Struthio camelus: one gene and its partners. The protein of the gene in region 1 purifies or fractionates together with the protein of each later gene. This does not show direct contact. Links are inferred from orthologs where the notes say so. Each region holds a gene or a part of one and is shown in the gene's direction. Other genes may lie near its edges. The genes, in order: CNOT1, CAPZA1, CAPZA2 and TOB1.

Region 1 (6,841 bases):
GGTGTCCCGGGGGCTGAGGCAGGGGTGGGCAGCTCCCCACATGCCTGGTGCTCCCACAGGGCTGAATGTGGTGCTAGGATAGCACAGAAATGGGGTGGGATTTGGGGCCACAGAGGGGAAGGACGTTTTGTGGTCCCTCTTGGATTACACATGCTTGGTAGAGCAGGGCTCTGCTGGTAGGAGGTGGCACATGTTGTCCCTTATGTTTTATGTCCCCACCACATGGGATTAGACCTTGCGTCCATGCAGACCCTCAGGGAGCTACTCATACCGGGGGGTTGGATCCTTCTCAAGGCAATAGGGAACCCACCCAGGATATTATCAGTTCTCTGAGCACTGGGATGGACATACCTGCTGTGGCCTGGACGTAGCTCATGCTGCCTGCACGGCCCATCATGAAGAGGGGAGCATGCGGGGCTCTCCCTCCATGGGAACGACTCTCCTCCTCTTCCTCCTGCAGGGCTTCGGCATCAGCAATGGCATGAGCAGCTACAGTCTCAACGACCTGATGCTGATGGAGTTCTCCTGCTACCTCAGGATCATGGGGGATGAGTGAGTGGGGGAGAGCAGGACCTATCTCATCCATGGGCCACGGCTTAGCTGCCTGGGACCTGTGCAAGGAAGAGGCAAACAGCAGGTGCTGCAAATGGGGGAGAGCTGGGGGGAAAGGGAGAGCAAAGAATCCAGCTGTCTCCGGGTGCGTGGGGGACACAGGGCATGGGAGGAGGCATGTATGTGCCTCGCTGGGGCCCTTATGATGGAAATGCTCATCTCCGGTAGCGGTGGTGTGGCGTGTTCCTCCTCCACCATGTCCCATCTGGGGGTATCACCTCTCCCGCCTCTGCCCGCAGGTGTGAGCTTCGCTCAGCCAACACTGCCGTGCCAGTGGTGTCTGCAACTTCTTCAACAGCAATTAGAAGAGTGCCTGCATGGCCACGGTGAGCGGCGGGCTCTGCTCGGGGGTGCTCGGGGCACAGGAGGGGATGGGGCGGCTCAGTGTACGGCACGTCCCCTGACACCCACCTTGTGCAGAGTCCCTAGTGGCTCTGATGCATGCAGAGCCCTGACAGGGGGCTTCTCCCTGCCATGGGCTAAGCCCGGCCCTTCCCTCACGCTCTCCCAGATAAAGGAGGTGTACGGGATCATCTGTGGCATTGACCTCAACATTTACGATCTCTACGCCCCCTGCTATGGGGGGGGGGGGGGGCCGCTACCAGCAACGCTCCACGGCCAACTTCTCCAGCGTTTTGCACCGGGACCGTTTTAATGTCGAGGGGCTGCTGAGTAATCCCAGGCTGGGAACATGTCACTGCCAGCCTTGCACTCAGATTTATGCCAGCTGTGAACAGGCACCACTGCAGCTCTGCTGGGCCTGCCGTTAGCAGGCGGGGCGCGGGATTGCCCCTCCTGCCTCTGCGGAGGCCCTTGCCAGGCTTGGCGGTGCTGGGCAGGGAGCAGCACAGCCTGTCTGAGCCCCGACGCCCTTGTGACACTTGCAGGCAGGCAGGGGTGCTCTGCAAAGCCGGGGCATTGGGAGGGGGGGCCAGCTGCCTCTTCCTGGTAGGAACAGTTTGGGGTGCAAAAAGATAAAAAGAGGAGGAAGGAAGAATCTGTTGGAGCAAAGCGCTTTGCAGAGGAGAGCGGGATCGCCCCTCTGGTCCTTCTGCCTCATCCTCTTCCTCACACCCTTGTGCCCTGGAGAACGCCCACCACCAGGTCCTGGGGATGCCTGGGGACAGGCTGGCAGTCTGGATCTCAGGGTCCGGAGCCCAAGGTCCTCCTCCGGGGACGCAAAACAGGTGCCACAGGGGCTGAGGCATGGAGAGGAGGCAAGAAGGGAGCAAGCATAGTGCAAGCCCTGAAAGCAGAAATTCAGGGGATTAGAGAGAGAGAGAGAGAGGGGGGGGGGGGGCTCTGGGAGCAGGAAGGTCCAGAGGTGAAAAGCAGCCCTGAGGTCATTGCTGCAGCAGGTGCCTCTTCGTGCGGTCTGCTCCGTGTGCTCGTCGCCAGAAAGCCAGCTCCGTCCCTGGCGTGCCGGCCTGCCTCGACGCTGCGGCCATACACGTTGAGCTGAACTGTGTCGATGTCCAGGCAGCTCTGCACGTCACCCGCCACCTGCCCACCTGGGAGCTGTGCGGGTGAGGCGGCCGCCGCAGACTCCCACCACAGCTGCATTCGAAGGCCACTCTCTGGCTCTGCCAGCCCTGGTACTGCAGCGACTGGGTTGCTGGCTTCTCCCAAGAGTAGAAGAGAGCAACGTGAAGGTAGGTGCTGTCCCTGCGCGCAGGGCTGCCCCAGGGCCGGGAGGGGTGCTGGCCTGGCACCGCCCTGCGCCCTGATGGCACCTGTCGTTTCCCACCTGTGCGGGGTTTGGGGCACACGGTGCAACATGTCTGGCCTGGCCGGCTGCTGAAGATGTGCAAGAGTCTCCTGTCCAAGACCTCGCACGTGTGAGTGCCCTGCACTGCCTGCTGTGGGGTCAGGCCAGCTGCTTTGGGCACCCCGCCACCGCACGCTGCGGGGCAGGGGTTCAGCTCACCTGTCTGTGTATATGTACATAGGAATAAATGTGTTGAGTGGGCAAATGGAGCAGTGGTTTTGGCAGGGATGCCATGGGGGAAAGGCAGGGCAGCCCACCTCCCTTTCCCATGCAGGACAGGGCAGGGCCCAGCACAGCTGAGGTCTCTGGGGCAGGTTGGCACAAAATGGCCTCCGTGCGCACCCCTGGGAGGGAGCCTGGGCCACTGCACTGTGCGGGGGTGGGGGGTGCAAGTGCATGGAGCTGAGTTGCTGCACTGCGGGGAGTGCAGTGGGGGAATGCAGTGCATGTGGTGGGGGGAGTGCAGGGGGCCATACCACTGCACTGTGGGGGACATGCTGCAGTGTGTGGGGCTGTTGCACTGCCAGCCAAGGGGGAGTGCTGCAGTGTGCAGGGTCATGCCACCCAATTGCAAGGGGGATGCAGCGTTTAGGCCCCATACCAGTGGATTGCGAGGGGGGGGGTGCAGTGTGTGGGGCTGCAGCACTGGACTGTGTGGGTGTGGGGGAAGGCAGTGTGTGGGGCCCTATCAGCACAATGCAAGGGGGAGCTGCAGTGCATGTTGCTGAGGGGGAATGCAGCATGCGCGGCCGTACCACTACACTGTGGGGGGGGGCAGTCCAATGCTTGGGGCTGTACCACAGTCTTGAGGGGGGTGCTGCAGTGCTCTGCATGGAGGGTCTGGACCACAGCGGGCAGCGGGTGGGCCGTACCACTGCGTGTGCTCGCGGGGAGGGAAGCCGTCCCGGCGGCCGGCCCCGGCGAGGCGGGCTGCGTGGGTCCCCAGGCGCCCCCCACGCAGGCGGGTGGGCCCTTCCGGGGTGGCCGACACTAGTGCGGGGGGCGGGCGGGCGGAGGCGGTGCTCCCCCCCATGACTCCGCGCGCCCTTTGGCGCTCCCCTTCCACTTCCCCTTCCTGCCCCGCCCCCAGCGGAGCGCCCTGCGCTCATTGGACGGCCTTTCGAGCCTTCTCCTCCCCTTGCGAGCGCTGATTGGCAGCTTATTGCGCATGCTTCGGTCAGGATGCCTTCCGGCTCTGATTGGCCAAAGCTGTAGGAAGGACGCCTCCTCCTTTCGGCCAATCGGCGCTTGGCGCTTACTCCGCGCGGAAGGCCGGGGAGGGGGGAAGATGGGTGAACGTCCCCAAGAGGTCGCGCCGTGCTGATTGGGTAGACCGAGCGCGGCGACGCGCTCTGATTGGGTGAGCCCCTGGCGAGGGGGCGGGAGGCTAAGTGGCTGCTCCTCTCCCTCCACGCCTTCCCTCCCCCCCCCCGCTGCCGTGCCGCGAGGGGACGGGGGAGGGGAAAGGCCGCGACGTGAGCGCGCGACCCCGTCCGCCATTTTGTAGCGAAACCAGCGGAGGCGAGAGGATAAAAGCGCGAGCTGCCCCAGCCCCCCGCCTTGCTCCGGCCCTGACCCACCGCTTGAGGTGAGAGGTGCCCGCTGCGGCTGGCCTCGCTTCGGCCCGCGCCCCGGCAGTCCCAGTAGGCGGCGGGTGGGGGTGGGGTGGTGGTCGGAGCACCGGAGCCTCCGGCGCGAAGGGGGGCGGTGTCGGCGGTGACCCCCCCCCGCCTCTTCCCCCCCCCCCCCCAAGGGGGACTGGTGGGCCGTGGTGTGGGCCGCGGCGAGGCCAGGCCCCGGCGGCGGTGGGAGCAGGGTAGGAGGCGGCGGGGCCGGCAGGGGGAGCCCGCGGGGCCCGTCGTTTCCGGGGTGCGCGTGGTGCTGCCGCTGGGGCGCCCGAGGCCTGGCCTGCCCCGCTCCCTGCCCGCCACTGTCCCGGTCCTCGCGTCCCCGTTGCTGCCCTTGCCATTTCTCGAGCCGGCGTCCCGCTGAAGGAAGCAAAAGGCGAACAAACTTTCAAGGGTCTCACTTCCAAGGGTTTCGCCTCACTGTCGGCTTGGGCCGTGCATGGTGGTGATAACTGATGGGAGCCGCGAGTGTTTTCAGGTCCGCGGGATGCTGCTTGCGGTTCTCGGCGCAGGAAGAAAAGCTCCACGAACAGACTGCGTTTTGATCGCTTCGAGATGACAGCGAAGTCTTCAGCCATTTATTTTGTCTTTGTTTCTGTCTACTTTCTACTTCTGTAGAGTTGATCGTGAAAGGCGAAGCTGTGAGAAATTTGAAAAGGAGCAGGCGCTGGGCCTACCCATGAGTTAGATTTGGTGACCTCCTTAGAAGATCTGTGTTGTTGTGACTTGCCCAGTGAAAAAAAAGTAATGCGTAAACAGTGGAATATAGTAGTACAATCTGGTAGTATATCCTTGCTGCAGACTACACGGAAGAGATGCATCTCAGCACTGTCATCTCGTTAAGGGCACCCTGCATAGTAGCATAGACTTGCTTATTTGAAAACTAGGATTATCAACAGTTGGCTGTTTTGACAGATACTATTTTTTTAGAAATAGGTCCTTTGCAGTAGTTGTCTTACTCTGAGTTAGTGTTACATCCTCTGTATGGATTAAGGTTAGTGGTCAGTCACGATTTAATTTCAGCAGACCACAAATATTTTCTTAGGTTGTACTTCAAACAGAAATGAGATAATATGGAAAGTTTTTGTGTGTAAATATAATGAATAGGGACTCTTAGCCTCTCACTGTGTCACAAGTTTAGACAGTGTCTGTTTCTGAGTCTGACTTTTTAGAAGGAAGTACAACATATACTCCCTGTGCATCTTGGCTTCCTTTTTTTTTTTTTTTTTTTTTTTAAGCAGGTAACAAAACAGGTATGACATTTGACAAGTCATTCTTGAGGCATGTAACTTAAATGCTTCCTATTTCTAAGGTAACTGCGTTGTCATTGACTAAAACTACAGGTAGAGCTAGTCCAGATGAGGTAACTGTGTTGTAAGCAGGAAACAAAGTTAGCAGGTAATACATAGATGTGCTTGTCCCTTCTAGAATAGTTATTTCCTTGGTTCTTTTGTCCTTATGCTTATAAGTAGGCTTTTAACTACTGATCCCATTGTCCTGATATCCCTAAACCAAACTCTTAGTAAACTTGGTGTCTGCCTATCTCCCCTCTTTGGAGAAGGACCTAATCCTTTCTATTCTTCTGGCATAGTGTTCCGAGATACATAATACTTTTTTTTTTTTAATTGATGCTGAAATGGTTACTTTTGGTATTCAAGGCAATACTGAATAAGGTGGAACAGAGACTGTGCAGCTATTAATGAGCAAAAGTGGATAGTGAAGCTTTGTGACCCTGTGATTGGTCATCAATAAATAGTGGGAGAATTGTACCACTGAGAATCATCGTTGAAGTCAGATCTCTGTTTTGTTTCATAACCCTGGCTACTCTTACAAATAGTGCAGTTCTCATTTACTTCTTTGTTATAACACTTAACTGTTCTAAAACATTTTTTGGATGGAAAAAGCAGTCTACTGCCTTTGAGAATGGGTCCTTAATTTATCTAAAATGGAAACTTTATGCTGCAGTGCCTAACTGAAGGGAAAGGAGGATGTGAAAGTTTCTTGGATTTTTTTTTTTTTTTTAGTGTAAAATGTCCTTGTTGAGATGTGAAAATACCTTGTTGAGATGTGTAAAGTTGCCATGTCATGATGTATGCCTGATGTGTTTGAGGTAGGTTCTGCACCTGAAACTTAACTGGCCTTAACTCAGGAGCATAAGCATGTGTGCTTAGTTCAGCTGTTATCTCCAAATTAGTTACCATGTTTAATCAGCATCAGTGACTTCCAGTTGATTGGAGCTGTGTGTAGTTACACAGTAAACAGAATATTCAGGTGGTTCCTCTATGTGTAAATACCTAAATTTGAACAAGTGGAATTCAGCTGTAGCTTACTGTACTATTAATGTGACCAATGCTGTAAGGTTTTCCTTTGCGTAGTTTTCATAATGACTGCCTGTAATCTAACTTAACTGTAATGTGGTTTGAAACCTTCCCCCTCCTCCCTTTAGGAGTATTTCTAACATGGGTCTCTTGAAGCGTGCAGTTCTTTCATATTTTCTATTTGTGCATGGATTTTGCAGAAATGAGTAAGAGACTTATTCTGAAGAGCAGGTTAGTGGTGTTGCTCATAGTATATTTTAGAAGATGTTTTTTGACAGGAACTTATAACTTTACCAGTGAGCCTGATGCTCTTTCAGTCACTTGAGCTGTTTTACCCTCTGCATGGAATACACATGGCCTTAAATCTGTACAGCTCTTGAAACCCAATGGGAGTAAGTTATTTAGCTTTGCAAAATATTAACAAACCAAAGGCTAACTTAAAGAAGTTTTTAAAATGATTTTCTTTGTAAGGCTGTTTCTGAATATGTATAGAGGACTTCAGATTTGTTCATATC
Region 2 (7,439 bases), on another chromosome or scaffold:
ACAAAATCACAGAGACAGCACTGTTCATCAACAGTCTGTTTAAATCAGACCTCTGCACTGGTTGTGAAGAATAATTCAGGTTTTCAGCATCATATTGTTAATTATTTAATAAGTGTGAGATCTTAAAATATTTCAGGATCCTGATGCACGACCACCCTTAAAGCCAACAGAGAGAGCACAATATAAAAAGAAAAAAAGACCTATTCACTCAACACATCTATTAAACCACCTAAGTAGTAGAGAAAGGCTATTGTTTCACAAGGCAGTTCACACAATAGCTTGTGCTATATTGAATATATTAAAAATATCCACGTTACACATTCCATATAGATATATATATATCTCTCTCATACATACATCACTGGTACCTGTATCTGAAGGCCGAAGGGCATCCGTATCACATGTGAAAAAGTTTTGATGATCTTGAGCTGACAAATTCATGTCATAATATGTAAGAGGCTCCTTCCCAGTCACCCACATGTATCTTTAACAAGAGAAATTTCAGTAAAATGTACTGCTAGTAAACAGTAATGCTGATGCCAAAGGATAATACCTGATGCGCTTGACTGAAGCTAGTGCAGAAACGTTATTAATAAAAGAGTGGGCTACTAACCAGAAGTTTTCAAGTACTACTGCTCCATAATCTGTACAGGTTGCCAGAAGGCTTCCTGCAGAGGAAAAAAAAAGTCTTTTTGATCCTGAAGTTCTAAGAGACTTGGGACTGGCTACCTAAGAAGCACCTTTTCCTATGAAATAGCACAGAGATTTACAGCACAGCTAAATTAGTTTAAAAAGGGATATTTCAGATTTAGAATCATGGTCTCAAATGCAGAATAAAATAACTCAACAGCTGTGAGACCATGATTTTCCCAGAGTTTTCTGAAAAAAAGAACGAAATAAATCCAATTATAATCTTCTCCTACTTTACTCTGAAAAGCCGGTGATGTTTACAGTGACGTTTGCATTCTTAACACTGAAACTGCCAAAGTCTGGGTAGGTGCTTTTTAAACACAGGATTGGCATCAATCCAAACTTCAACCCTATAATCTTGTAGGTCTTAACTGTCTCCCAGTAGTACTACTGCAAGCTCTGGGAACATGTCATAAATACATTCCAGATTAATTTCAAAACCATGCAATGAAAAATAAGATTATTAATACCTGCTATATTCTGCCCCTCTGAAAAGATTGAGAGGATTTCGCCACACTTTGCACTCTGAAAATGATTAAAAAAAAAAAAAGTACTTTTGGAATTAAGAGCACAAGAAATACTACCTTGACTTTAAAATATAGCAACTACATAGTTTTACTTCAGCAACAACTGGTTTTAATTTGAGATTTATAGCCTCATCTCAATTATGATTTTTATAAACATATATATATACACACACACACACGATCTTTTTCTGCGTCCTAGAGCTTCTGCTGTCCCACGGGTTTCCCCCTCCCTCCCCCCCCAGAATTTCCATCATACAAAAGCACATGGTGGAAAAATTAAACTCTGCCATTCACAATCATGCATTGTTTACCTTGTACGTATTTAGAATAGCAAAAAATCTAACCTTACTGAAACAGTTTTAGCTAAACGTGTAATACATTTTCAAAATGATGCTTTTAATAACGAATGTTTTAAATCAAAGATACTATGTAATATATTACGTATCATTTAATTTCTTTTACCGTTATTGATAAAATACATTGGTAAAGCGTAAGCCTTTCTCCAGTTACTATAAGCACTAATGCAGAATCAAAACCACTCAAAAGAAAAGTAAATTCACTTGAACAAGGCCTTCTTGAAGCTCCAGGAAAATTGTAGGGACACTAACAATCACCTGGCATATTCTGCCTGTTTGTCTCATGCTCTCCACTGTTAGCTGAGAACACTACTGGTGCTGGAGGGCTGCTTTCTACTCCACCAATGAGGGGCCTCAAATGACTCACAGATACCTGCTCAATGAAAGATGTGCCGTATTTTCGGAAATGCCACCACTCAAACACCTGTCATAAGAGTAAAAAAAGCACCAGAAATTTTCTTAGGCAACACCCTTCCAATATAAACATAAGAGATGAAGAGTAAACTCAACAGCAAGGACAGACTCTTGAAAATGACTACAGATAGAACTTATCTACGTACAAATTAACACCAATTAACTGTTTCATGCCTGTCTTGTCATGCAAGATCTCCCACATAACATGAAAGAGACTGAAAAAAAACACAGTAAAATTTTCAAACATATGTTCCTCCCTCCCCAAGTCATTAAGCTAAATTCTAAACCCTTTCAGAAGGTGTCTGGATCTTTTAAGACCAAAGTGTGCAGTACAGGGAAACTAGAGACAGAGGCAAGAATCACACAGTGGGCGTAGCTTTTTCATTTAATAAAATGAATCTAAAAATAAGGCACAAAATGGATGGTTGAACTGAGATGTTCTGCCAGTCAAAGTTCAAAGGGGGAAGTCTTAAGTAACAGTAATCTCGTTCACTTACTAGAAATTTTGGATCAAAAGCATTACTGTCTTTCTTTTTTATGCTATTAAAAATATCTGCACACGTATAATACAGTCCTCAAGCACTATATTACATTGTCAGCCCTGGACAAACTTATCGGAGTACTTCCACTAGCATGCAGAAAAGAGTCATGTTCAAACAAATGGCACTCCTTGGTAAGAAACATTACTACAAATAGTTGCTAACCAAAAATCACTCTTTTTCTTTTAGGAAACGTATTTAGCATAATTCCCATATACATGTGTGTGTGTGCATGCTTGTATATATGTACACACATACGTACACACTTCAAACAAGCCTGAATTCCTAAAACAGATACAGATTACTTAGGCTTCATAGTAAGAGAGCGCTTATAATACACCAGAAGAGATACTAAACAGTAAGTTCCTTTGTAGTACAAAGGCACCCTCTAGAGCCTGTTCAAAAAAAAAAAGGAAGTTTATTGCATTTCACCTTAACAAGTTCAAAAGCTGTTAAACAAAAAAAAAAAAAAAGGGGGGGGGGGGGCCAAGAGTGGACTACTTACAAATATCAGTCCAGAAATAAAAGATGAAGTCACAGTAAGCGCAAAGTAGAATTTTGGTGTCAAAGTGCTTAAGAACACAGTCACTGTCAAGAGAAACAAAACTAAAAAGTTTATAAGCAGAACCAAAAAATACAAATAAATTGTTTTTAAACAAACAATACTGTATAAAATACTACGCAAACATAGTATTGTGACATAGCCTTAGTATCTTCATAGATAATGGTTATTTTGTTAGTGAATCCTTTTCATCTGTCACTCTCTTGTCAAAATTGTCTGTAACATTAGTTAGGCTATACATGCAACTCAAAACCTCTTTGTAAATTCTTGGATAAAGAAAGCTATGACTTGGACTATCTGCATGGCTGGTGAGTAATAAGAAGCCATTTTAATGTATTATTTCATTTTAATCTAAAACTGAAAAGTATTGCTTTGATGCAAGCCTCTACTCCGTGTTAACAAGGACGCTGAGGGAGTTTACTTTTTTTAAAAGGCATATTCTTGTGCAACACTAAAACAAAGACGCAAAAGACAACAAAAAGTGAACTAAAATTAATATATATTATACTATCGGAGAGTACATCGTATTAACGTATTCTGTCTTCTACGTTTTACACGGATTCGCTCTCCTGGCATTTACAGGAAAATGCAGTTTTCCATTACCGCTCCGACCGTGATTTCCAACTAGAACTACAGGAAAGCTTTTCCAGCTGTCAGCCTGCGCTGCGAGCGGGGCCGAGGCAGGAGGAGGGCCGAGACCCGGGCAGGGCAGGGCACCGCCAGCCGCGGAGCCCAGCGGCCGCGCTCAAACTCAAGTTAGTGATATCGCTGGGCTGGAAATATCGCCTCCCCCCCCCAAACCCAGCCCCCGCGCAGGCGGCCTGGGCGGGGACGGGCCCCGCCGCGCCTCACCGCCCGCCAGGCCGTCGCGGAGCCGCAGCGGCACCCGCAGCACCGCGTAGAAGAAGCCGAGGCCGGCGGCTGCCGCCAGCAGCCCGCGGGCCCAGGGCGCCGCCGCCGCCGCCCGCCGCCGCAGCTGCTCCCAGCGCCCCAGCGCCGCGCCGCCGCCGCCGCCCGGGCCCGCCGCCGCCGCCGCCCGCCCGGGCCCGCCGCCGTCCGCCATGGCTGCCGCGCCGCCGGGGCACGACGGGATAGGGGCGGACCGCACGACGGGGCGGGGCGGGCCGCGGCTGGGCGCGGCCTCCCTCTCCCTCTGCCGCGCGGCTGCCGGCGCGGGGAACCCCGGTCGCGGGGCTGCGCCTCGGCCCCAGCTCCTGCACCCCCCGGCCGCGGGCGGGCGGGCGGCCAACTCCCGCGCTGCCCGCTCCGGCCCCGGCCAGCCTGCCCGCCGGTAAGATGGCGGCGCCCGCCCACAGCCAACATGGCGCGGGCGGCGCTTCCGGCCCAGCCCCGGCGCCGCCGCCGCTGCTGCCCGGCGCTCCCGGCATGCTGCGCGCGGGCCGGGCCCAGAGCTGCCAAAATGGCCGACTTCGAGGAGCGGGTGTCGGACGAGGAGAAGGTAGGGACGGGGCCGCCGCCGCCCCCCCGCCCCGGCAGCCCCCCCGGCGGTGCCCCCGCCTCCCCGCCGGCAGGGCTGCGCCGGGCCGGACCGGGGCGGCGGCGGCCCCTCCGAGCGCGGGCGCTGCGCCGCGGCGGGCCCGGCCCGGCCCCTCGCTAGGCCCGGGAGCGCCGCCGGGCGGCCCAAGCAGGGGCGAAGGGCTCGTTTTTCAACGCGACGCCTCACGGCTTAGCCCTAGCTCAGGCGTCCCTCCGCGGTTAGGGGGGGCGCAAACACGTTATCTCCCCCCCCCCCCCCGCAGCTGCCGTCGCGTCTGCTAGACCAACGACGTTAGCAGCCCCTTACAGGCGCTTTGGGGAGCCTCTTCGGCTCCAAATCGCGAGGACCTTCAAAACGTGTCTTCACGTTTTCTGCTTACCCCACGTGCTACTGTTATCTTTGCTGCAGATCATAAAAATTTTATTGGATGGTGGGGCCTAAGCAGGAACAAATAAAGAAACTTTCACTTTTAGAAGCTGGAGAAATAAACAGATTATTCCTCCTGCACAGGAATAGGGAAAAGTCCCCATCTTACAGACAGCACTAGGGCTTACATAACAAATGAGGGGATAGCTTTTTCTGCAAGTCCGTAGACATGAGATGCATACAAGTGATAGTTAACAAAAAATTCTGGAGTTATTCTTCTTTAAATCACAAAAATATATATAGCTTTTTGGTTTTTTAAATGTGCTGAAGTGGCTTATCAAGGCTCATAGGTCTTCCAGGATCATGCAAGCCTGGAGTCTACTTCCATTTGCCTCTCAAACTGCCATTTTCAGCTTCATTGTAGTGACGTTCCTCCTGAAGGAACCAGATAGGGCCTCAGGGTGCAATTCCCCCGCTAATATTCCTGTAAGTATGGAACTAGGTTTGTGCTCTGGTTATGTACCCAGTTACCGTAAAACAAAACTAATAGGATACAGGAACCATATTTGTTCTGAGAATTTTCTGCTGTCCTTAAGCTACTAGTTATTCATCTTCAGCTGGCCAGGCAAGTGTTCCTGGTGTGTTTCATTGCAAAATAAGAGACCACTTTAGCCAAACTACTGTAGAAAGCAGCTCATCCGCCTTGCTTTTCATTGGAAGGACCAAATGTTCACAGGAGGCAGGGAATAACATTTATTATAGACACTATGCTGCATAAGCCAATTTTTACATCAATATTTATAGCTTAGCCTGTGTTAACCAAGTAACTGATGACTTAGCTTAGCATGTTCTTGTGATACAATCCAAGAAGTTTAAAAGCTGTAGTTAGACTCAAAATGTTAGTTAAGATCACATGAGCATTGTTTGAAATGAGTACTGCAGAACATAAAGTCCAAAGGAATTAGCACATAACTGAAAATTATTCAAGGACAACAGATAAAATATACATTTTATACAGCATTTGGCTGAATTTCATTCTAGCTTCTGACATTGAGGTCATCGTTACATTTGATGTGAAAATTAGAACAAAGGTAAAGCTTTATCATGCTGGGAGTTATGCTGGTACAGCTTTTGAGAATGAGAGAGAGGTGAAGTAAGTTGCCTTTGGTAATCTAGCAAGTTATTAACAGAGCTAGAAGAACTGGAGTCCCTGTTTGTAGGCTATATCTAAACTATACTCTTAGCCTAGTTAATTTAGGCTGAGAATAAGTCTCTGCTGCAAGAACCTGGGGTCACTAGGTCTTTCTTTCCCCTCCTACTGCTGCATTCACTTGGAATCTACAATTCTTTGAAAGTACTTATGGGAACACCTGTCCTTCAGAAAGACAGAACTGTATGTAACCAAGGACTTTATTTGGCAGAGCAGATGGGATTTTGCTTGAAATTGGAGCTTGTGTTCTACTTTGTGTCCGCGCTCAGGCAACGTAGTGTGAATTTAAAGTAGTTCCATGCTCAGAACAGATAGAAAGGGATACTCTTCAGGCAGGTTTATGAAAAAAGACTTGCAGCCAAGATTTTTCTAGCATGCATTTGACAGTCATTCGGACAAGTCTACAACTGTTTTACATTTCCTTTAAGTCTTGAATTTGCCAGTGCTTTAAGAAAAAGCAGAGAAACCAGCAATCAAAAACAAAATGAATTGTTGCTCTTCCCTTCCATGAGCCTCAGTTCTTTACTCTCTGTAGGCACGTTAGGTAAGCTCAGGATCCACGCTAGTTCAGGGCCTACCAGAACGTACCTTATTGCCTATATAAGTTGCTTCTGCTGCTGTTTTGTTGGCTTGAACCGATGATTGAGTAGCCTCCCTGTTACTTTCCCCATTTTATGGAAAGGAAGTTAGTTTCTGTTAGCGTACTGCAGCACTACCCAAAATGGTAATGATGAGCCAGGAAATAGGTCAGCTTGCAGAAAGTCTTTTCATGCTTCTGCAAGTGAACATCCTGCCAGCGTGCTGACACCATTTTGAGACAAATCAGCTCTGAACGTGACACGCAACAACAATTCAAATGCTTGACATCAATCATTTTACTCCATACAGCCTGTTTCCCACACTCCACTCTTGATTTCAGTAGGTTGACTGAAATGCTTTATATTTTGTTGCTCCAGAGGAAAGGCATGTCTAGTGAGTAATACTTTATAGAAGTAACCAACTTCCAGTTGCAGTGTTTACTTTGTTCATGGCTGTTTGTGATGTTTGTTTGAAATATGGAGCCCTTACTGTATTGATTTAATTTCACTCATCTTCCCACAATGGAAACATTTCTGCAAGACTGTAGAAGTCTCCCCTGCAAGGTTTGAGGCACATTGAAACACCCTCTTAAAAAACAGTCAAGCTTTTGACCTAAAAGTCCTCCATGTATTAAAAGGGTAGTCTCCTTTACAAGGATTCCATATACAGAACTATTCTGCAGCCACAACATTGATGCA
Region 3 (7,897 bases), on another chromosome or scaffold:
CTAGGTAACATCTAAGAAGGTAGCTCAGTCTCAGGTTTTCTAAAGCTGCAGTTTATTATAGTTTTCTTCCTGTTACAGTTTTATTTCTAATACTATTGTAAGGATTTAACATTTTGCTTTTTTAGAATAAACCCATTTGCTTTCACTGTAAAGCTACTAAACTGCAAGTTTGCAAACATCAGATATTTTATTTCCCCAAAATAACAGATCCAAACTGGCAGGCAATCCCCAGGGCCCAAGTATCTGAGACATATTTGGGAATCTCAGCAAATCCAGAATGCATCCCCCCAACCTGCAGGGATCTGAGGATTTACACCACAAGGTGCCAGGATCTAGGGAGACACTTCCCACAGTAAGGAGCAGGGACAGACACAGCCTTCCAATTCATTCTGGATACTCCCAAATCACTGCCTGGAGCACTCTCTGAGAGGCTCAGAGCTTGCCTTGATTCCACCTTTGTCCTAGGAAACAAAACTTAGTACATCCTCCAGATTAAACAAGTGAACACTGAAGACACTTGACTTCATCAATTTGTGCTCTGAACAGACGCAGCAGGGATCAGATGTTGATCACTTGTCTTGAATGAGAAGAACGAAAATGTAATTTCATTTTTCTGCATTGTTTATCTTAACTGTTGGGGTCAGTGCAAAAGGACAGGAGAAGTATGCTCTCCTAACCCCCTCTGCCAAACTGACCACTTGCCAGTCATCAGGATCACTTTAGCACAGAAACCGCATTTCTCCCAAACCATTTTCACGGCTCTGCAGGGAGGCCTCACAGGAAGGCTTGCTGTGCTCTTCCTCCCATTGTAATCAAGGGCCAGGGTTCTGGACCTACAAAGTCATACATAGAAATGGAAGAAATAGTAGTGCAAAATATCAAGGTACAAGACTGGTAGATCTATCATGTTTGCTTAGATTAATTAGAACTCAAAAAGAAGTCTTTTTAAAATCAATTTGTTTTCTCTCTTTCTGTCAGTTAACCACACACTGCTCATCAGATAGGTTTGGCAGCCCACAGTGCGTTTCACGTAGTGTGACTAGACATCTATTAAGACATGAGCTAGCTAGTTAACAATACTGACGATATTTTGCTATACTTTATGTGACTGCAGTGCACATGAACTTTTCATTATTGTGTATAGACACTAGCATGTGAAAAACATAGCTGATGTGGGTGAACTTTATAGCAAAAAGATGAGCATGGCTAACTTTCAGCCAGTAGATCAATTCAGAATTGAGGTATTCAGAATTCAGTAAAGAGGTATGACTTCATATAAGATGCAGATATATTCTAAGCTAACTTGAGTATCAATGCTTCATCCTGCAGTCACTGAAAATAAATCATTTCCTAAGTCACCTCTTAGTCTTTTCTTCAATAATCTCCTTAATTGGACCTCCTTAAGCCTCACATCCTGAAATTTGTTGTATATCCTCAGGATCATTTTTGGTCTTCCTTTAAACACTCTCCAAGATTTCCACATTCTTTCTGAAAAGGCACACCAGCCCTTCACAACAACACTGAGTCACAAAGCGAGAGCCCTACTTAATCCTGCTGAATTACTGCTTTCCCATTAAGTCCTAAGGTCACATTAAAGCACCTGCCAGAGTGCCACATTGAAGATTCCCTTTAATATCTGTCGTGACTGCACAATTCTTCTCTAAGTCATTCACATCATCAAAGCGATTGCAGCAAATTTCAAGAAAAGACTCTGTGCAAACATTGTACATCGAATAGCCAGATATGTCATCTTAACGGAAAACTACTCATGTTTGTATGACAAGATCTACCTTATTGAATGAACCTCTTTTTACATTTTAAATATAGCAGTTTCCATGGTATATCCTAGTAACTGGGAAATCCCTAAGTTTGTTAAAAAATAACATGAGCATTTCACAGAGCTCTTCAGCTATTTACTCTAAGACTCTCGGGTGGAAGTTATCAATTCCTGCTTGAAACTGTTCAACAGATGTTGCTCATCGCTTCCTCCTGCTACAGACCACTAACTTTTATCACTGAGTCTAAGAAACATTATATGAGATGTTCCAAAACCAAATACCCATAGACCATGCCTTTTCTGCACTAGTCTTCATCATTTTGCATCTAGCAATGGCCTTATCAAATATAAGGTTTGCTTGCCCATTATTTTGTTCCTAACATGTCCGTTGTCTTTATCCTCAGTAACTACAGATATTTTATATATCTTTTCAACTTTCCTGAATAAGCCACATTGTCTAATTTGTACATTCATTGGTTTTTACTTTTATATCTTTTGTTTATATATTGATTTATGGTGTCATCATAATTTCCACATACCCCTTTGACTGCAATGACTTCTTGTCCAATATCACTTTCTTTCACTTGCATGCAACGAACATTTTAAGGCACCTAGAGTGACAGCCTTGAAAGATTATACAAATTTGGGGAATATTTTGCTATATTGCATGTGACTACATCAACTATTGTGTATGGATACTCATGCAAAAAAAACACATCTTGTGGATGTACTTTATAGCATAACAAGATCTGTCGGCTAGAAGTTGGCTACATTCACACCATTAATCATGCTCTACTCACATGTACCTTGGCATCTCTGAATTTTCAAGTCAATGATCAGCTCTTCTTTGTTCACCTTGAAGTACACCATGCTTGACATTAAGAAACTAATATTTTATAAAGATTAGCAAAGAGTTATTACTGGACATACAATCCTTCCACCATATTTCCTTCAGTCTGAAGTAACAGTAACAAAGTTCCTTACATATTAGGAGCAGATATTTAAGAAGTTCACCTCACTCTCTAGCAAGATTGGGTGGTCCACAGCAGACTATCTTTCACTGAATGAACTAGAACTTCAATCTACAAATAATTAAGAACCTATTCTTCTGAAATGTCTCTGACCACTACAGGCCTCTCCAGTATAATACACTAGTCCTTTTACTCTTTCTGTCCTTAGGACCAAGGTCTGAACTATTGATTTCAATAGCCCAGGCACAAGACCTGACCAAATAATGTTGTTATACTAATCGTATCATCTTTCTCAAGCTCCAAATTGTCTTGTGCATTTTAGGTTCCTAGCATTAATGCACAGTAAACTGCAGGATGTATCCTTTACAAATAACTGGGCTCATTTCGTAATGCTTTGGAGTTGTCATATATTAGCATGTGGTGTAAGGATATCTCTGGCATTAGTCTCCCCTTTTCATTTTATTCTCTCAGCTGCCCTTGCTAGTTTATCATCCAGGAAATTGCTACTCATACTAGTAAGATGAAGACTATAGCCACCCAGTTCTATTCAGTTTATTCTACTGTTCCATAAAACCCAAACGTCCTACTTGGCTAAGTTAAATACTTCCCACGTACTTTCTACTTCTGATCAAGGAAGAGGAAGGAGTTCTTGAACAGGTCATCTGACTGTTCTCCTCCTTCGGTTTCTTTTTTAGGCCTCTAAAATTGTTCAGCTTCTGTACAGTGGAGTCTATTGCTATCGCACTGTTGCCAGAATGGATCATTATTAAAACAGCTTCTCCTGCTTACCTGTTTTACCAGTCTGACCTTATGTTTGCTCCTGTAAGAAAACAAAATTTCCTGCTGTCTATCAGACCCTTGAAGAATAGTTTGACAACCCTTGTTAGGAGGGAGTCACCGAGGAGGACTGTCTTCCTAGCCACAATACTGGCAGCTGAGGAAACATTCCCAAGAAGTATCAGTATGTATTTGCCTTGTTTTTTCACCATTCCCTGGGCACCTGCTACTGGTCACACTGTTGGCACAGGTTATTGAATTTCACTCGTCCAAAATCCCCACTGCTAGCTACACAAATGTTCTCTTTCTTCTATTACTGCTTTTCTCTAAAGTTTGTTTTATTACCTCTTCTTTCAGTCAGTTCTTAAAAGCCATCATCTTCAAATATCCCTCTGGGCACCTGCAGTTCCACGCAGCCAGAAGATATTCTTCAGGTTTCTTATTTTGGTGGTAAGAAATTTCCAGCCTATCTAAAGGTTTCTTATTTTGGTGGTAAGAAATTTCCAGCCTATCTAATGTTGTTTCTTCTGGTTAACTACACTCATTTTATTCATCCAATCCAAGAGTACCAACCACTTTACAAGGTCGACTTTCTCGGTCTTTGCTGTTGGCACCGAACGGAACTTTCTGAAGTTTCTTCCAGCAAACTTCATGAAATTCCAGCAAACATTCTGTTGTTTGAAACTTGCCTCCATGCAAATTCCCAGCCCCGCCCCCTCCTAGCCATAGGAGACGCTAACCCGCATTAGGCATGCTGCTGAGCGGATGTCAGAAATCTGGCAATCTGTAGTTCTTTCCACCCACACAGACTTCCAGTGGACTCATTCAAGTGACTCACTTTAGCACCCAGGAAAAGCAGGCGCGGCGCGGGCCGGCGCGCTGCTCGTCCCTCACTCGGGGGACGCTCAGCGGGGCGCAGCGCCCCGGGGCAGCCCTCGCCCCCGCGGCCGGCCCACCCAGCGCCCACCACCATTTGAAACAGGCCAAGTCACAGCCCAGGCTGGACCCACAACTCCGGCCCGCCCGAGCGCCCCCGGCCGCGGGGGGCGGGGATGGGGACGGCGATGGCGGCGAGGGCTGCGGGCCTCCTCTGTCCCGGCGGCCAGCGCCGACCGCAGCCGCACCGCCACGGCGCTGCCCTCCGCCTCCCTCAGCGCCGGGCCCCCCCGCGGCCCCTCCCGCCCCACGGCGGCGGCCCAGGCCAACGCTAACAGCGTGAGGCCCGGCCCGGCCCGGCCCGGCCGCCCCCTCCCCTCCTCCGGCCGCCCCGCAGCGGGACCCCCGCCCCCCGGCCCCGGGCTCGGCCCCGGGCCCGGGCCAGGCGCATGCGCAGTCACGGCGCCTCCCCAGCGGGCCGCGGTGGGGGGGAGGGGGCGCGGGGCCCCGCCCTTCCTGCCTGGGAGGGAGGAGACGGGGACGGGGGCGGCGGCCGGAGCGGCGCTGTTCGGAGCCAGACGGGAAGATGGCGGACCTGGAGGAGCAGCTGTCCGATGAGGAGAAGGTAGGGGCGAGCGGGCGGGCCGCTGCGCCGCAGCCGAGCCGGCGCGCCCCTTTTGCCTCCTCGCTCCTCGAGCCGCGAGGCGAGCTCGGCCCTCGCCGTTTGGGGTCGCCAGCAGCCGCGGCGTTTCGTATTTTTAGCTTCTCCCTGCGCCGGGGCCTGTCAGTCAGGGGGGCGGGAGGAGGGTCGGCGGGGGCAGGGCCGCGCCGGGCATCCCCCGCCGCTCCTTGTACGGTGCGAGCCCGGCGGGCAGGAGCCGGGCCCGGCGGGGGGCGGGATCCGGTGTCCGGCGGCGGCCGGCAGGGCAGGGCAGGGCGGGGAGCGGCCGCCGGGCAGGGGGCCGAGCGGGCACCGCAGAGAGAGGGGGGGGAAAGCCACGCAGGGACCGTCCTCTGCTCTGCTCTCCCCTCCCCTCCCCTTCCCCCATCTCCACTTCCCGTTTCTGCGGCCCCTTCCCGGTGCCAGCTGGCCGCTCCGGAGCGCCAGCGCTGCTCCCCGCCGAGGGGGGCTGTGCCCCGGCCCTAGCTCCAGCGCAGGCCCGCGGTGTCGTCGTCCCCTCGCTCACCTCCCGCGGTCTCCGGGAGGAGCTGGGATACGGGAGATCTGGGGGAGGAGGTCGGCGCTGGGGGTGGGCAGCCCTGTACTTCCTCTTAAGGGACAGCAGTTGGGGAAGTCTGAGGTCAGGGAGCAGGCGGTTTGTGTTAACGAGCTGCGTGCAGTCTCTGCTTATGGCTCTTGGAAACGTCGTCAAGTTTAAGACGGATTTTCCTGAAAATCTCTCAAAGAGTGGGGTGTCTTGTAATACCCCGATTATCAGTGCTCCTTATCTTCTGTTGGATCCAGGGTCATGGCAGTTGCCTGCTTCAGAGCTAGGGTGTGGTAGTTTGTGTACATGATGGTGCACTGCCCATATCTTTATGTAATGCATGGTGTCATTTATTTCTGATTAAAAACATAGGTTTATATGGCTGTAGAAGCTGTTGAGATGATTTAAACGTGGGAGACATCAACGAAACAATGCTTTACACTTCTCTGAAGTTAGAAGAAGGATGTTTGAAATGTCTAATTGGTGGTGACAACAAGGCAGGCTTTCTGCGTGTTTGAGGTTAACATTGCCAAGTTTCAGAACAAGAGATGCACCGATGTGCTAAGAGACACATAGCTTCAGGATCTCGCTAGCCCAACATGAGGCTTTAAAACTGTGTCCTGCTCTACCTAATTCATATTCGAATACCATCTCTGTGTTGGTACGAGTAGGAATGTAACCAAGAAATATATGTGGCAGTCCATTATTTTGTCCTGTAGGAACTTCTACAAAATAACTCTAATCCATTGTGTTGTGGATAGGGAGTGTACTTGAAAAAACTTTTAGTCAAAGTTATTTGTGGTACTGTAAGATACAGTGACAGTTCTATTTTGCCTCTGTATAAACTGAGAAGCACTACCCATGCTTCTGTGACTGTTATAGTTAAATACAGGACTTTCTTCTGTCCATTAATTGCAGGTTCCCTTTTCTCCCAAACCGAGTGCAAGCCTTCTAGAGTCTCTTTCTGCCTCAGCATAAGCGAATGGAGTCTGCACTTTTCCACTGTAAACTTAAACTGGCCACCTTGTCGAGTGCTCTGAGATCAGTGAAGGAAATCTTTTGTCTCCCATGTGCTCTATAAGTGTGATCTTTCTTACCCCTTGGTCCAGTCTTAGCTTAATGTTTTTCACTGTCTCATCTTAGAAGAAAGCAGAGGTGCAGTGCTCTCCTACCTCTTTGAAGTTTTAGCAACCCCGGCCAAAAAAAATAGCCCCTTTCTCCCCCACCCCGATCCTGCTAAATGCCAGCTTTACGGCCTTTTTTTCTTTTTCTTTCCCTTTTTTCAGTAATGATGCTATTAATTCCTTTGTCCACTTCAGTCACATATAAAATTGATTGTCCTACACCATTGGAATTTTCCAAGCCTGGCAATCTATTTAATTGGCTAATAAAACAAAGATGGGCAGTGCTGCAAACTCTTGCAAAAGCAGGAAAATGTCCATGCAGAACTTGTGATACCTAAGGATTTTCCGTTTCCATGGAAGAGGTGCTTGCAGTAGCTTCAGTTAATCTGAACATTTTAGAAGGTGTGTCAGGTTTAATGTATTTATCCATTCTAAAACAAGTGTTCACAGTGTACTGCAGCTCCCACCCGGTGTTCAGAAAGACTAGAGTCCTCAAAGTGTTGCGGACTTGTTTATGGCCTTATTTATGTTTACGCTTTGCCACTAAACTTATTTTGGATAGCCTTTTATTAATCTATTTGAAAGCACTGGTATATTGAAGTTCTGTGCTTTTTTACAGTACAAGGCTATACTGCTTAAACGTTTAATCCTTTTCTGATGGTATTAAACTGAAATCTAGATGAATGTGCACTATAAGTGGTTTAAATAAAGACAGTCAGTTTACAGTAAAGTTGTTTGTTTGTTTATTTCTCCTGAAAGTCACCATAATCTTAAGTGGACAGATTTACCCTCTATTAGGCTACTAAACAAGCACTACATAAGGAAAGAAATTTAGAAATACATATTCTTACGGCATGTCTTGGAGATGTTGAACCAAATTTCCTCAGTGTGCCTAATTGCTCATGTCTTAATTGAAATCTGTTATGAATGATGCAACAAATGTTTTTGAAATTAAAACTTGTCTAGCTCCGTACATGTTCAGTCATTCACTATTATGGAGCTAAAAAATTCTACTGAATAGCTTTTGAAAAGCACACTCTTCTCACCTATCCAGTTGGGACTATAATGCAAATTTAGGAGTAGAGGTAGACAAATGTTTATTTTTCAACAGGAACAAATCACACTGCTCCTCTCTACACTTGTCTCCCCCTGGTGTGAAACAGA
Region 4 (7,163 bases), on another chromosome or scaffold:
CAGGAGTTTGCACACACACACACACACCTCCTGCTCTGTGCACTCCTGCCTTGGCATAAAAACTCGCACCGAGCCAGTGAGCTGCTCCTCATCGGTGGTAACCGTTTGCCCGTTTGCCCCTTCACATAGTTACAGAGGAGCTTGGGGCTTCCCTAGCAGATGACCTGGCTTGCTACTGCAGGGGCAATGCCCCACCAACGTCTCTGTTTGGGCTGAATGCCTCTGCTCTTGGTCATTCTTGATTCCATTAAAACAATGTTACATTCAGGCTCCTACCATGGTTCCCACCTGAACAGTCCTTGTAGCCACAGAGCTCCTGAAGCTGGGCAACATCTGATATGTATTTACATATTCCATAACGTATATTAATAGGAAAAATACTGCTTAAGCTGGTAAATGAAATGTAAGAGAATCTATGCTACATTTCAAAATTATTGTTAAGGGCAGATATGTGTGGGAGAGCAGCCAGGATTGGTTGTTCACACTGGTAGATAATAGGGAAAAGGAACGAGTGGTAAAATCTGCAAATGGATAAAATCGGGATAGAGAGGGAAGAATACAGGGGAAAAAATTTCCACTTCTTCAAAATCAAAGCCAAGGCTCCCACGCGCATTGTGCTCCTAAATAGGAAAATGTTAAAAAAGAGACTGTACCATATTCAGAAATGTACCTTGCAAAGCTTTAGGTCCATGGTCAGGATAAATGTTATATATTCTGTAAAGGGTAACATTCATATACTAGAGAAGATGAAAAGGACAGAGATGGGTGATGAAAATTCTGCATCTTACTTGCTACTTCTCTTAAATTCTTGTCCAGGTTGACTCTGATGATTAAACATTTTCCTGGATATTTTTAATCCCCTTAAAAAACTTTCGAGATTAATAAACTCTATTTTGGTATTAGGTAATATATTGGTCATCATCTAATACCGATTTAGATTTTTAAAAGAAGCAAGTTTACATTGCTTAAGTGAAGAAAAGGAGGTCCTTTTGTAGAGTCATTACACATCCATTACTAGGAAGCCAAACAGCACTGGGGTAGTTCACGTGAACCAGGACCGGAACATGACGAGAAGTGGGCGAAGGCCAAATGTGTGTGTTGATGGAGCCCTGTGTCCTTACAGAGACCTGGAGTCCTTTTAATTTCCTCGACTGCTATTTTCTGCCTGTAACGAGGTCTGAACCATTTGTGAAATGCAGTTTGGGTTAGGCCTTTTGAGACACCCCTGCTTTCTCTCCAAGCAGTTCCTAAGCATCTGGGCATTGCACGGTTCATGGTCCCCTCTGGTCCAGAGGACGTAGGTCTCTGACAACCCGGAGATCTTGGCTCTACAATTTCAGACTGCAGAGACCTAGACTGTTGAAACTATTTCAGTTTCTGGTGCTTGGAAATATGACGGCCACCACAGACTAGGCTATGAACAGAGGGTGAGCTCACAGCCCTTCTAGTTTAATACAGATTAAGGAAGGCCCCTTCCTTCTAATCTCGCTGTTGCCTCCCTGCAGTGGTCTGAAATACTTCTGTTGATTTGCTCTGCTAGAGAGACAGACTGTCAAGGTTTGTCAGGAAAGATGAGAATATATAGGTATTTTCTTTTAAGATTAATCTTTCAGTTGAAGAGAGTTGGCAAGAGGAGTAACATTTTGCTGCTGGAGTTGTTATTTTGTATTGATTGCATTTTTAAAGATTTTGCTACCAGGGAGAGGTAGACATTTTGTTATTGCTGTGTATTAATCAAAAGGACTGAAAAATATTGCAGGCCCTATTTTGACTTCTTTTCCTGCTTTGACTTCTTAGAAGTCAGTTGAGGTTTTAAGGACAGGAGCGATACTGGATTAGACGCTGTGTTTTTAAGTGCTAGAAACTTAACATTAATAAAGTTTGACCAACTACTTTTGATGTGTTATACATGGGAGACACATCTCTGCAGTTTAAAAGTCAGAATTTTCTTTTTGAACAAATGAGGACAGACTAAAACTTTCATTGGACCTTTAGAAGTGAGCTTCCTTCTTGCTGACCTGAAGAGATTGTTCTTAAGGCAATCACCTGTCTTAACACAGTATGTCAGATTTTTTTTCAGTTCTATGCAATTTTAGCATTACTGCATTGGAAGTTTCCTTTACACAAGCCATAAAAAGGTACACCACCGTTTTTACAGCTTTGAAGGCTCCCACAGCAGCCTTAATTAAAAATATATTTGCTTTGTATATTCAGTTCAGCCCCTAATGCTTTTCACGTAGTGTTGAAGTCATTTAAAAGAAAGTCTCTGCTTTTATAACCTTTCATCTTTTCTTTTTACCAACTCAGCTGCACAGTCATTTCGTTTTTAAAGCTACTTAGTAAATCTCACCTGAAAAAATTGATCCACGGAGCTGTGCAGTTTCTGCCCTTCAAAGGGAAATCTGCTACCGCCAGCCCCACTCACTGCAGAACCCCGAGCAAAGTAACACGTTGAACTCTCTGAAAGAGCTGATGTTATCTGCCAATTTGTTCAATGTTTGTTGTACCAAGTAGACTTCTAATTTTAAAAACCCGTGTTTGTCTCTTCACCTTATCTGTTATTAATAGTTATTTCACGTTGTCTCTTAACTTTGGTGGTAGAAGTAACGACAACCTTTTCAAAACAAAGAATCCAAGATTTCCATATGGCTCCTTGGCTGTGCAGCAACAATTCTCAGGAGTAGTCTCCAGGTTGCCAATGTTTATAGTTTTGTAATCCTCATCATACTTTAGTTTCTTAAACTTTCAACTTTGGGGGCATGGTGATGACAGGACTCAATTCCCATTGAAAAGATGCACGTTAAGGTTAAAAAAGAATGGAAAATAACGGGGAAAAAGGCTATTTTGAGTCTGAACTATTAAGTTGTCTGCGTTCGCAGTATCGCAGTCCTAAAAACACTGATCTTAACACTTCTGAATAAAACTACATGTTTTATGATGAGTAAGGCCTTCTAGTAGAAATTTTTTCAGTTGTAGAAAATCCCAAGCATTACCCTTTGTATCTTGCTTCCTTAACATTTCATTTTTCAAGTGCCTGCCTCGTGCACGGTGCCACATATAGTCTAAACTCCCAAGGGTTAAAGTCCTGGCATTTCTTCTGACTGGTATTTCCAAATCTCTCCCGGGGCCCATGCTGCTTTTATGCCAAAAAACACTTTATTATTATACAAACACAGCAGAGGAGGAGGAGGAGGAGGAAAAAAGCCTTTGCCTGTGTTTTGTCCTCTACGACCGGGCCCTGCTCGCTGGTTTGAAGCTAACCACCCCAACTCAAAACCCAGTAACACCCACGAGCCGTATGTAAAGGGCAAAAACCAGCGACGGTGTTAAGCAGCCGCAGGCCGAGGGCCTGGGCGCCGCCGCCGCCGGGCCGGGTCTCCCGCGGGGCCGCAGCGCCGGGCCGGTGGCGCCGCCGGTTATTCCTGAGGGAAGCGAGGCCCGCGCGAGGCCCGGTCCCCCCGCCGCGGCCGGCGCTGCCCGGGGCTCGGTCGGGCTGAGCCCGGCGGAGGCCCCGTGCCGGCGGCTGCCGCCTCGCCTCGCCTCGCCGCGGACCCGCCGCCGGGGTTTTTCCACGGCGCTGAGGCGACGGCTGCGCCATGTTCCCCCTCCTTCGCCGCCCCCTTTTCCCCCCCCCGGGTAACTTTTGTTTTCCCCCAAAACTGGGGTTTGACGTATTCCTCCTCGATACCGAGTGACCAATCAGGCGGTTACTAAGGCGGGAAGCCAGCCAATCGGTCAGCGTTGCTACCTGTGGGTAGTATTTTTAGCCGCAGCGGGCGGGCGGGGGGAGGGGGAGGGTGACAGCGGCGGAGGCTCCGCGCCCCCCCCCCCCCCATCGTGAGGGCGGCAGCGCCCGGTACCGGCGGCCGCCGCCGCAGCGGGGCTCGTCGTCCCCTGGTCCGCGGGCCGCCTGACCCCGCCAGCCGCTGCCGCTGGCTCGGCGACGGAGCGAGCGGCCGCCGGGCTGCTGGCCGCGAGGGGCTGTGAGGCGCCCTCGCCCCCCGGCGGGCGGGCGGCCGGCGGTCCCCGAGGGCCGGCCCCGCCCGGGTCCCCGCCGGCGCCGCAGCGGCGGTCATGGGAGATGTAGTTCAGCGCGGCCCCCCCTCTGCCCCCCCCTTCCCTGCAGAGACGAGGGGCGCGAGGGCAGGGTTTGACGTAGGCAGTGACGCAACCGTGTTGTGAGGTGAGGAGCGAGTTGACGTAGAGAGCGGCCCCTCCACGCCGCGGTGGGGGGGAGGGGAGGCAGGCGAGAGCCGGCGCGCGGGGGGGCGCTGAGGGAGCCTTCTCCGCGCTGGGGGCGGGGCCAGGCAGGTGGTGGGCGTGGCGTGGCGGGACGCTGCTGGGAGGGCGTTGGCTGGTGGGCGGGGCTGGGCGGGGCGTGTGGGCGGGGCTCTGCGGTGGGCGGGGGAAGGGAGGCCATATATAGGGGCGCGTCGGGCGGCGGGGCAGTAGCAGAAGGAGCCGAGCTGCGGCGGCCGAGTGCGCCCGTTGTGGGGGTGTGAGCAGCGCAGCCCTCCCCCCCTTTTCCCTCCCCCCCCTTTTTTTTTTCCAACCCTCCCCCTCCCTCTTCTTTTTTTTTTTTTTTGATCTTCTTTCCTTTCCCCTCCCATCCTCGCTGAGGGAGCCGGCTCTCGGAGATGGGGGTCGGGTGCTGAGCCGCCCCCCTCCCCCCTCGCCAGCACTCACACCCCCGCCGGGATTGTTTGCACTAACCCCCCCCACACACACACCCACCCCGGGTGAGTACCGCTCGCTGAGGGCGGGGGGGGGGGGGCGGCCCGGGCCGGAGCGGGGAGCCTTGGCGGGGAGCCCTGGGCTGAAGGCAGCCGGGGGCTGAGGCGGCCCTGCCGTGAGGCGAGGGGCTGAGGCGAGCACGGCCGCTGAGGCGAAGGGGCTGAGGCGGCCCCGCCGTGAGGCGAAGGGGCTGAGGCGAGGACGGCCGCTGAGGCGAGGGGCTGAGGCGGCCCCGCCGTGAGGCGAAGGGTGGGGGAGGGGCAGCGGTGCCGTGAGGGGCGCAGCGCTGTGGGGCGCCGGCCGACGCGGGAAGGAGGGCGCGGGGGCAGCCGGCAGCCCCTCGCAGAAGGGGCCGAGGGAAGGACGCGGCACCGGGCGCCGGGCTCCCGAAGGGTCCCTCCCTAGGCGGTCCCTGGACGCGCTCGCGGCTGGGAGGAGTGAGCGTTGCCGGCTGACTAATAGCCGCTGCTCGCGCTGGGCCTTCTCGGGCAGCGCTGGCAGCCGTCCTCCGGGAGCCTGCCTCGGCAGGGCGAGGCGGAGGGGTGTCGCTGAGCCCAGGCCGGTGCGGTGCGGAGGGGGGCCTCGCTAACCCCCACCCCTTCGTCCAGTCGTCTCCCTTCCCCTTCTTCGTTTTCTTTCTTACGGGCTCAGAAAACGCTCTTCCTCCTCCTGCTGTTGCTGGAGCTCCCAGGGCTGTGAGCAGAAATCTAATGAGACCCAACTGCCTGGTTATGTAACTCCCCACACGCTGCTTGCGGCTCCTGCTTTTAGCCCCCGCTGCCGTTGCTTTGCTGTTGGAGTCATTAATGTGCTTGGGTCCCTTAAAAATATTGTCCTCATCAATTAAAAAAAAAAAAGTTTGAAATGATCAAGCTGGTTTGTTTAATCAGCTGCTTTTCCGTGAATCAGTCTGGGGACTTAGAAGAATTTATTGTGTCTACCCAGTGCCTTGAAAGGATCATTTCTTTACTAAAGGACATGGAGGAGGGGAAACAAAACAGATGAATTAATAAATCATTTTTAAATATCCCTTTTAACCACCCAGTCAGCTTTTCTGTACTGAATGTGTCCCTTTTGTAAATATCTTCTGTTTGCCCTTGATCTTTTCCTTATCCCCACCCAGTGCTGATCCAGCAAACGTTTAAAGGTCGCCTTATCATACAAGCTTTCGAACTATTCCCATACCGTGTTGAGGGGAACACAAGTGGTTTGGAAATAGAGTTTCAGACTTTAAAAGGAGATTATGTGGAGCAAGAAAAAACAGCAACATTGTATTCACATTTTTATGGGATTTTGATATTGACTTTGACTTCTCTAATCTTTAGTCACACATATACTAAATTTTGTACTTAGTGATGCAGTGCAGAAAAGCACACCGCTAACCGAAATTCATGCCGAGTGTTTAACTTGAGCCAAAAAATACCCTTTTTTTTTTTTTAATGGAACTTCTTGTACAATGCTGTCTTCTTTGGACAAGTACCTTATGCTAAAGATTTTCATTAGCAGTGCATGTTCCAATATTTGATTCTAGTCCTTTCTTTAACTTTAGGTAGGTGATTTCTCTTTTGTCCTTTGTGAAGGAGTGACAACCATATTTTATATTTAAATATAAAATGGAGTCACGGAGAGGAAGAAAAGCAATTGTTTTGAGTGAGGCTATCAAAAGCCCTGCTGGCTCTAGTAACTTTCAGAAATCCTGACTGTAGACAATGTAAAATATGTAGTTGTATGCGTATATATTAAATATACATCTATCAAATGTAATATATGTATATAAAAGAACTACAGAAAGGGGAAAATTGTGAATTAATTTCTTGTAATGATTTAACAGTTATTGCCACCCCATCACAGAAAATGCATCCATATTTTGCATGCACTGATTGTATTATCATTTTATTAATTCTGAGGAAAGGAAAAATTCTTGTATATGTTCAGCAGACATTTTCTCTTCAGTTTGTGTAATTTCACCAGTGCACAGTTGATGTGGATGCTTGACTTGAACTTAAAATAAGTGCAGCACAATTTGAATTATTTGTGTGAAATCCTCTGAGGAAACTAATATGTTTGTAATTCTGTAACTTTAAAGGCAGCCAATGTGTTTGCAAACTTTAAAATGATAAATGACCCTTAGACTAAGACCTTTCATGCTAAACTAATAGCCTGGTGCTAAATTTTGCAGCTGAGTACTATAAATCATCCGAAATAGGGGTTGGTAATTGAACCCTTGACAGGCCTGGCAGTTCTGTGATGTCTTAGAAATTATACTTGCTGCTTTGTGAATAGCTAAACTGGAAGCTCATATGATTTTGAAATACCCTGTGCTGTATATATAAACACATGCCTAGTGCACCTTCTGCAGTATTGTTTCTAAGTCATATTGAATGTAGTTGACACCCTCACCTTTCACAGGCGTGAACAAAAGCAGTTTG

Evidence for each region.
Region 2: the proteins of CNOT1 (region 1) and CAPZA1 purify together in Homo sapiens (affinity purification with mass spectrometry; 3 studies listed by BioGRID and IntAct, with this or other methods). This does not show direct contact. The link is inferred for Struthio camelus from reciprocal best matches to the Homo sapiens genes CNOT1 and CAPZA1.
Region 3: the proteins of CNOT1 (region 1) and CAPZA2 purify together in Homo sapiens (affinity purification with mass spectrometry; 3 studies listed by BioGRID and IntAct, counting the BioPlex papers as one, with this or other methods). This does not show direct contact. The link is inferred for Struthio camelus from reciprocal best matches to the Homo sapiens genes CNOT1 and CAPZA2.
Region 4: the proteins of CNOT1 (region 1) and TOB1 purify together in Homo sapiens (co-immunoprecipitation; 3 studies listed by BioGRID and IntAct, counting the BioPlex papers as one, with this or other methods). This does not show direct contact. The link is inferred for Struthio camelus from reciprocal best matches to the Homo sapiens genes CNOT1 and TOB1.

Annotation. Positions count from the first base shown.
Region 1 is NC_090951.1:23,133,804-23,140,644, forward strand, and holds the start of CNOT1 (CCR4-NOT transcription complex subunit 1), read left to right. Parts: upstream 1-3,832; 5' UTR 3,833-3,968; intron 3,969-6,841.
Region 2 is NC_090965.1:9,481,207-9,488,645, forward strand, and holds the start of CAPZA1 (F-actin-capping protein subunit alpha-1), read left to right. Parts: upstream 1-4,439; 5' UTR 4,440-4,508; coding exon 4,509-4,547; intron 4,548-7,439. Other genes in the region: ST7L (suppressor of tumorigenicity 7 protein-like), read right to left, coding at 369-484, 1,161-1,215, 1,832-1,838. UniProt on the Homo sapiens protein: F-actin-capping proteins bind in a Ca(2+)-independent manner to the fast growing ends of actin filaments (barbed end) thereby blocking the exchange of subunits at these ends.
Region 3 is NC_090942.1:29,001,468-29,009,364, reverse strand, and holds the start of CAPZA2 (F-actin-capping protein subunit alpha-2), read left to right. Parts: upstream 1-4,897; 5' UTR 4,898-4,987; coding exon 4,988-5,026; intron 5,027-7,897. UniProt on the Homo sapiens protein: F-actin-capping proteins bind in a Ca(2+)-independent manner to the fast growing ends of actin filaments (barbed end) thereby blocking the exchange of subunits at these ends.
Region 4 is NC_090960.1:7,337,980-7,345,142, forward strand, and holds the start of TOB1 (protein Tob1), read left to right. Parts: upstream 1-4,160; 5' UTR 4,161-4,183; intron 4,184-4,447; exon of another isoform or gene 4,448-4,739; intron 4,740-7,163. UniProt on the Homo sapiens protein: Anti-proliferative protein; the function is mediated by association with deadenylase subunits of the CCR4-NOT complex. Mediates CPEB3-accelerated mRNA deadenylation by binding to CPEB3 and recruiting CNOT7 which leads to target mRNA deadenylation and decay.